Linked DNA regions of Macaca mulatta. The protein of the gene in region 1 binds, or shares a complex with, the protein of each later gene. Links are inferred from orthologs where the notes say so. Each region holds a gene or a part of one and is shown in the gene's direction. Other genes may lie near its edges.

Region 1 (3,500 bases):
TAAAAAATTAGCTGGGTGTGCTGGCGCACACCTGTGGTCCTAGCTACTCAGGAGGATGAGTAGCTTCCCATCATACCACAGCTACCTCATTTTTGTTTTATTAACAGCATTATTATTCAGGTGCCATATAATGCACCATTTTATTTTTTATATATTTTTTAGAGATGGTGGGGTCTTGCTATGTTGCCCAGCCTGGTCTTGAACCCCTGGGCTCAAGCGATAGTCTCAGCCTCCTAAAGTGTTGGGATTACAGGCATGAACCACCATGCCCAGCCAAATCCACCACTTTATTTTATTTTTAAAATTTATTTTATTTATTTATTTATGATGGAGTCTTACTCTGTTGCCCAGGCTGGAATGCAGTGATGCTATCTCGGATCACCACAACCTCTGCCTCCTGGGTTCAAGCAGTTATCTGCCTCAGCCTCCGAGTAACTGGGATTACAGGCATGCGCCACCACGCCTGGCTAATTTTTTATTTTTAGTAGAGATGAGGTTTCACCATTTGGCCAGTCTGGCCTTGAACTCCTGACCTCGTGATCCACCCACCTCGGCCTCCCAAAGTGCTGAGATTACAGGCGTGAGCCACTGTGCCAGGCCAAATTTATTTTTGAGACAGAGTCTCACTCTGTTGCCCAGGCTGGAGTATAGTGGTGCAGTTTTGGCTCACTGCAACCTCTGCCTCCCAAGTTCAAGCAATTCTCCTGCCTGGGCCTTCCAAGTAGCTGGGATTACAGGCACATACCACCATGCCCAGCTAATTTTTGTATTTTTAGTAGAGCTGGGGTGTCACTATGTTGGCTAGGCTGGTCTTGAACTCCTGACCTCAGGTGATCTGCTTGCCTCGGCCTCCGAAAGTGCTGGGATTACAGGCTTGCGTCATGGTGCCCGGCCTGAATACACCATTTTAAAGCGTAGCATTGGGTAATTTGTAGTATATTCACAAGATTGTGCAACCATCCCCACTCTGCCAGAACAGTTTCATCTCCCCAAAAGGAACCCCACATTTCTTAGTTGTCACCCACAATCTCACACTCCCCCCAGCGCCCGGCAGCCACGAGTCTCCTTTCTGTCTCTGTGGATGTGTCTGTTCTGGACATTGCATGTGAGTGGAATCGTGCACTCTGTGGCTTTCGTGTCTGGCTTCCTTCACTCAGCGTGACGTTTTCCAGGCTCATCTGTGGGGTGGCAAATGGCAGAGCTGCGTTCCTTTCCATGACTGAGTGATCCTCTGTTGGATGGATAAGGCCACATTTCATTTGTCTGTTCATCCGTGGATGGATATTTGGGTTGTTTCCACTTTTTGGCTATTTTGAATATAGTGCTGCTGTGAATATTCATCCATGTACAAATTTTTATGGGGATTTATGTTCTAGGAGTAGAATTGCCAGGTGGCACAGCAGCTCCCTGTTTCAGGTCTGAGGAACTACTAGGCTGTTTTGCTTGTTTCCTCTTCCCACCCACAGTGTATGAGGGCTCCACATTTTCCACATCCTCACCAACACTTGTTATTGTCTGTGGTTTGTTCAAATTATAACTACGCTGGTGGGTGTGAAGCAGTATCTCATTGTAGTTTTGATTTGTATTTCCCCGTGACTGCTGATGTTGCACTCTTTTCTATGTGCTTATTGGCCATCTGTGTATCTTTCTAGAAGAAATGTCTGTTTAGGTCCTTTGCTTATTTTTTAAAATCAAATTACTATTTTTTGAGTTCTCTATATATTCTGGATGCAAGACCCTTATCTGACACATGACTTGCAAATATTCTCTCATTTGTGGTGTGTCTTTTCACCTTATTTATGATACCATTTGCAGGACAAAAGTTTTTTTTTTTTTCTTTTTGAGACGGAGTCTCGCTCTGTCGCCCAAGCTGGAGTGCAGTGGCGCGATCTCCACTCACTGCAAGCTCCGCCTCCCGGGTTCACGCCATTCTCCTGTCTCAGCCTCCCGAGTAGCTGGGACTACAGGCGCCCGCCACCACGCCCAGCTAATTTTTGTATTTTTAGTAGAGACGGGGTTTCACTGTGTTAGCCAGGATAGTCTCGATCTCCTGACCTCATGATCCGCCCGTCTCGGCCTCCCAAAGTGCTGGGATTACAGGTGTAAGCCACTGTGCCCAGCAGGACAAAAGTTTTTATTTTTATTTTTATTTTTTTTTTGAGACAGGGTCTCACTCTGTCACTCAGGCTGGAGTGAAGTTGTGTGATCATGGCTCACTGCAACCTTGAACTCCTGGGCTCAAGTGATTTTCCCACCTCAGCCTCCTGAGTTGCTGGGACCTCAGGCCCACGCCAGTATGCCAGGCCAATTTTTGTATTTTTTGTAAAGGTGGGGTTTCGCCATGTTGCCCAGGCTGGTCCTAAACTCCTGGGCTGAAGCAATCCTCCCACCTCAGCCTCCCAAAGTCCTGGGATCACAGGCATGAGCCACCATGCCTGGCTAAAAGTTTTACATTTTGATGAAGTCTAATTTGTCTGTTTTGCTTTGGTGTCTTATCTAAGAAACTACTGTCTAATCCAAGGTCATGAAGATTTACTCCAATGTTTTCTTCTGAAAGTCTGTAATTTGAGCTCTTCTTGCCTCTTCATTTTGGATGTGTTGGTTCAGATGCATTTTCATCTTCAGGGTGGAAACATCTACAGGCTTCCCCATCCAGTGAAGGAAGAGAACGTGGCAGGCGGAGGGTAAGTTAAGAAGCCCCCAATCCTGCATGCACCCCGACAGGAGTCCTCTGGCCTTCCTGTGCTGGCCCTGGACAAGTGAGTGGGGAGGATGCTCTCAGTCCTAATGGGATTAGGGTACAGCCTCCATTTTGTAGGGTTTATCAAGAGTAGTCAGGCTGGGCACGGTGGCTCATGCCTGTAATCCCAGCATTTCAGGAGGCCGAGGAAGGGGGATCATTTGAGGTCAGTAATTTGAGTCCAGCCTAGCCAACATGGTGAAACTCTGTCTCTACTAGAAATACAAAAATTAGCCATGTATAGTGGCACACACCTGTAATCTTAGCTACTTGGGAGGCTGAGGCACAAAAATCACTTGAACCCTAGAAGCAGAGGTTACAGTGAGCCGAGATAGTGCCACTGCACTCCAGCCTGGGCAACAGAGTGAGACTCTATCTCCAAAAAAAAAAGAAAAAAAAAGAGTAGTCAGTGGATTGGAGTTATAGACAAAAAAGATAAAAAAACCAAAGAATCAGTGATCAAGGATGGAGTCTCAATCTCCCACCCTTCTTTCCTGCCATGTCTACCTACAGTAACCAGCAAAATGGCGGTTCCACAGACTGGACGGAGCCCAGGAGCACTTTCATCTGCAAGAACTGCAGCCAGATGTTTTATACGGAGAAAGGACTGAGCAGCCACATGTGTTTTCACAGCGACCAGTGGCCGTCACCTCGAGGGAAGCAGGAACCGCAGGTGAAGGGGGACGACCAGTGGCTTTGTGGTTACTGGGTTTCTGGCAGGCCTGTGGGGAGTAAACGAGACTGGTGTCACTTATCTCAG
Region 2 (4,044 bases), on another chromosome or scaffold:
GACACTTCAAGCTACCAACCAGACCAGGACTTAATAAAGCACAGCTTGTTGAGGTATATATGATTTTTAAACTATTTGAACTATGCACAACCGAGAGGCTGTTAAATGCTAATGAAAGTATTAATGTAGTATATGTAACAGTACATTTAACAGTACATTTTATTTAGAAAGAACAATGTTAAAAAATCTATTGTGGAAGAATCTAGTTGTCTAGAAATGTTTGTCAGCCACTTAGGAAATTCCTTTTTGTAATGACTACTCAGCAGGTTGTGTACAGCACCTTCTGATACTGGCTTTCAAAATGTGTTGTTTGTTTTTTGAGACAAAGTCTCGCTCTGTCACCCAGGCTGGAGTGCAGTGGCACGATCTCGGCTCATGGCAACCTCTACCTCCCAGGTTCAAGCAATTCTCCAGCCTCAGCCTCCCAAGCAGCTGGGACTTCAGGTGTGCACCACCACACCAGGCTGATTTTTGTGTAATATCTTTAGTAGAGATGGGGTTTCACCATGTTGGCCAGACTTGTCTCAAATTCCTGACTTCAAGTGATCCGCCCACCTCAGCCTACCAGAGTGCTGGGATCAGCAGTGTGAGCCACCGTGCCTGGCCCTCAAAATGTTGAATGAGAGTTTTTTTTAATCCTCACTTTAGAAATCTATTAGTTTTAAAACTCCATTTAACCAGTAAATGTTTGAGCATCTAATTGAGGCATAATAAATTTAATTAGCAAGCTTTAATGTCCTTATTAAAATTTATATTTTAAAGTGGTGGAGTAGGCCTACAAATCAGCCCCTAAACAGTATTTTTATAATTTGCTGACTTAACTATTTCAAAATTGGTCCTTGTTGATGTTAGTTTTATTAGAGACATCTATGTTTTCTTCACATCTAGAAGAGGCAAAAGCTTTTCTTTTACCCAATCTTTTACTTGTAGTTTGCTTTGACAGAGGACTTCTAGTTAGTCAGTGAGTTGTGAAAGTTAATGGAGTATGCATATGTTCTCAGGATATAATAGAACCAAGAAGTCTGTGCATCTTATTAAGATGCTTATAGATTGATATATTTATATTTTAATCATATTTAAAATTTTTGCTTGCAGCTACTCAGGAGGATTGATTAATCCTAGGAGTTTGAGTCACCATGGGCAACATAGCAACACTCCATCTCTAAAAAAGAAAATTTAGCCTACTAGACAAAATAGAAGTGTAGATATATAAATCGGTTTTCTCATATTCTTTGCATGGATTTAGTAGTTACCCAACATTTTCTAAAATGTACAACATTTCATTGAATAAAATGAAATATGAATAGAAGTTACATTTATCTGATGGAACGCTTTTTAACATTGTTAAAATCTAATACATTAACTATTTAGCTAAAATTTCTTATCCTTGGTTAGGCAACACGGATCTAATTAATTTTTCTTTAATTTTGATTTAAAAGATCAAGTTCTTTTGGGGTTGTACAATACATTATGTAACGTAAATATAGATCTTGCCCACCATGATGAAATATTTCAGTAGGTACTAATGGAGTGAAGGCACCCCTGTTTTGGAACAAATGAGAACCAAAGAACTAATTATTTTAAATGTTACATTTAGGTATAAATTAAACCTGAAATTTTTGATAAACTGACCTTCTAAGAACAGTTATATTATTTCTAGAGCTATTTTCTTTTTTATACATAAGAGATAGCCATGAGTGTTATATTTTACTTAATCAGAAATGCAGTTATTAACAGGTTAAGGAATGTGGAAATGTGCAGATGTAGTACATATATTTTAAGACAGGGGTCCCCAACCCCGGGGCCATGGACTGGTACTGGTTGATGGCCTGTTAGGAACAGGTCCACAGAGCAGGAGGTGAGCACCAGCTAGCAAGAATTACTGCCTGAGCTCCGCCTCCTGTCAGATCAGCCGTAGCATTAGATTCTCACAGGAGTCCAAAACCACGTGTGAAGTGCACATGTGAGGGATCTAGGTTGTACGCTTGTTATAAGAATCTAATGCCTGATGATCTGAGGTGGAACAATTTCATACCAAAACCAACTCCCCCACCCCCAATCTGTGCAAAAATTGCCTTCCGTGAAATCGATCTCTGGTGCCAAAAAGGTTGGGGACCACTGTTTTAAGGGATTCCAGGGTTGTATGACTAAGTCTTAAGTCTCGTAATTGTTGTGTGGATGAACTTTTTTCTTAAGAAATTCTATTTTCTGGAATCTAAATATGCTTGTCAGCACCTCAGGTAAGTCTATTAATCTTCTATTCGTAATTGTAGTATGCATATTACATTAGCACAATGAAAAGGCAAGGAAGCAGGTAAACATCCTTCATTGAACATCCCTCTTTCTCCTCTCATTTCCATTCACAATTTTTATTCAGAAAAATTTTCAAGGAACCTTAACCAAAGAATGCTACCAAGATACGAATGAATGAATGTAATTTGCAGCAAATAATTTATATGTTATTGTTGATTACTACCAAAAGTTTTCAACTTCATACTTCTTTTTCTATCAGTAGGGTCTAAACCATTGCAGGTTTAATGATGCATGTGGTCTCTTACATCTGTTTTATCTCATTTAAAGTTTAAAAGTAAAAACATGTATTCCCTACTCTAGATTCCAATTATAAAATTTATTATTTTTATCTTATTTATCTTTTTTGAGACAGAGTCTTGCTCTGTCACCCAGGCTGGAGTCCAGTGGCGTGATCTCAGCTCACTGCAACCTCCACCTTCTGGGTTCAAGCAATCCTCCCATCTCAGCCTTCTGAATAGCTAGGATTACAGGTGTACACCACCACGCCTACTTAATTTTTGTATTTTTTTTTGGTAGAGATGGGGTTTTGTCATGTTGCGCAGGCTGGTCTTGAACTCCTGGGCTCAAGTGATCCCCCTACCTCCGCCTCCCAAAGTGCTGGGATTACAGGTGTGAGCCACCACTCCTGGCCCAATTATAAAATTTAAAATAAATAAAAGGAAAATGTATTTTCTAATCAATGTATAGTAAATTGAGTGAGCCAAAAGGTCCTTTGAAATCACATTATCTCTTGTTCATAACATTTTATTCTTAAATGCTTTTTGTCCTGTTGGTATTTTCTTAAATATAATTTTTAAAGGAAATAGCTCTTATCACATAGATTTTTTCTTTGGATGAAACCGTATTTTTTACCTAGTTTATGAAACCTGTTATATCTAAAATTTAATTTCCTTAATTTTTTTTTTTTTCTTTATAGATAGTTGGTTGCCACTTTAGGTCTATTCCAGTGAATGAAAAAGACACCTTAACATATTTCATCTACTCAGTGAAGAATGACAAGAACAAATCAGATGTCAAGGTTGATAGTGGTGTTCACTAGGAGACGTGGAATTGAGACTAATAACTTGGATGATAACACTGTTTACTGTTTTTTCACATGTAGAAATGTTCTTTGTGTATTTTTTCTACAGAGGATTTTCTCTGATTTTATTTTCTTTGTTTCTGACTCTAATAATTAGTTGGAAACTCATGTAAAATGAGCTTTCCTAAATTAAAAACTATTTTAAATAAAGGTTATTACTATTATAGTTGCTTCAGTGTATTTATTTTGTGAAACTTGATTTTTCTTTTAAACTGACTTAGAGATCAGTATTGATATTTTAATGTAAAGTCCTTCATTTTATAACCCCCTTTTTTTTTTTTTTGTAAACTTCCAAGAAATTAACAGGGTAAGGAGAAGTAACAAATGTAGCACATTTGCATTCTCTGGGACAATCTGACTTGGAATTGAAGATATTTTAAATAGCATTATTTTTTTTAAGTGCTTTATAATGCTAGCAAATTTGAAAAATAAGCTTCTATTGGAATACAACTTCTTTTTTATTTCCTTTTTTTTTTTGTTATTATTACTTGATGAAGTACTAGGAAGAACAAATGGTTTAATTTATATACCCACCTCGTTCCAAAGACAACTTAATGTGCCAGTGAAGATAAACACAATGCTGAAAGTCGAAATAAGAACATGAAATGAAATAGCTGTTTTTGAAAATTTTGTCTTTGGGAAAAGATATT

What was found. The genes of interacting proteins can lie anywhere in the genome.
Region 2: ZNF541 (region 1) and SAP30 share a complex: the UniProt entries of both Homo sapiens proteins name them as parts of the histone deacetylase complex. The link is inferred for Macaca mulatta from reciprocal best matches to the Homo sapiens genes ZNF541 and SAP30.

The regions. Positions count from the first base shown.
Region 1 is NC_133424.1:60,038,023-60,041,522, reverse strand, and holds part of ZNF541 (zinc finger protein 541), read left to right. Parts: intron 1-2,625; coding exon 2,626-2,684; intron 2,685-3,253; coding exon 3,254-3,413; intron 3,414-3,500. UniProt on the Homo sapiens protein: Transcription regulator which is essential for male fertility and for the completion of meiotic prophase in spermatocytes.
Region 2 is NC_133410.1:181,805,840-181,809,883, forward strand, and holds the end of SAP30 (histone deacetylase complex subunit SAP30), read left to right. Parts: coding exon 1-53; intron 54-3,229; coding exon 3,230-3,352; 3' UTR 3,353-3,544; downstream 3,545-4,044. UniProt on the Homo sapiens protein: Involved in the functional recruitment of the Sin3-histone deacetylase complex (HDAC) to a specific subset of N-CoR corepressor complexes. Capable of transcription repression by N-CoR.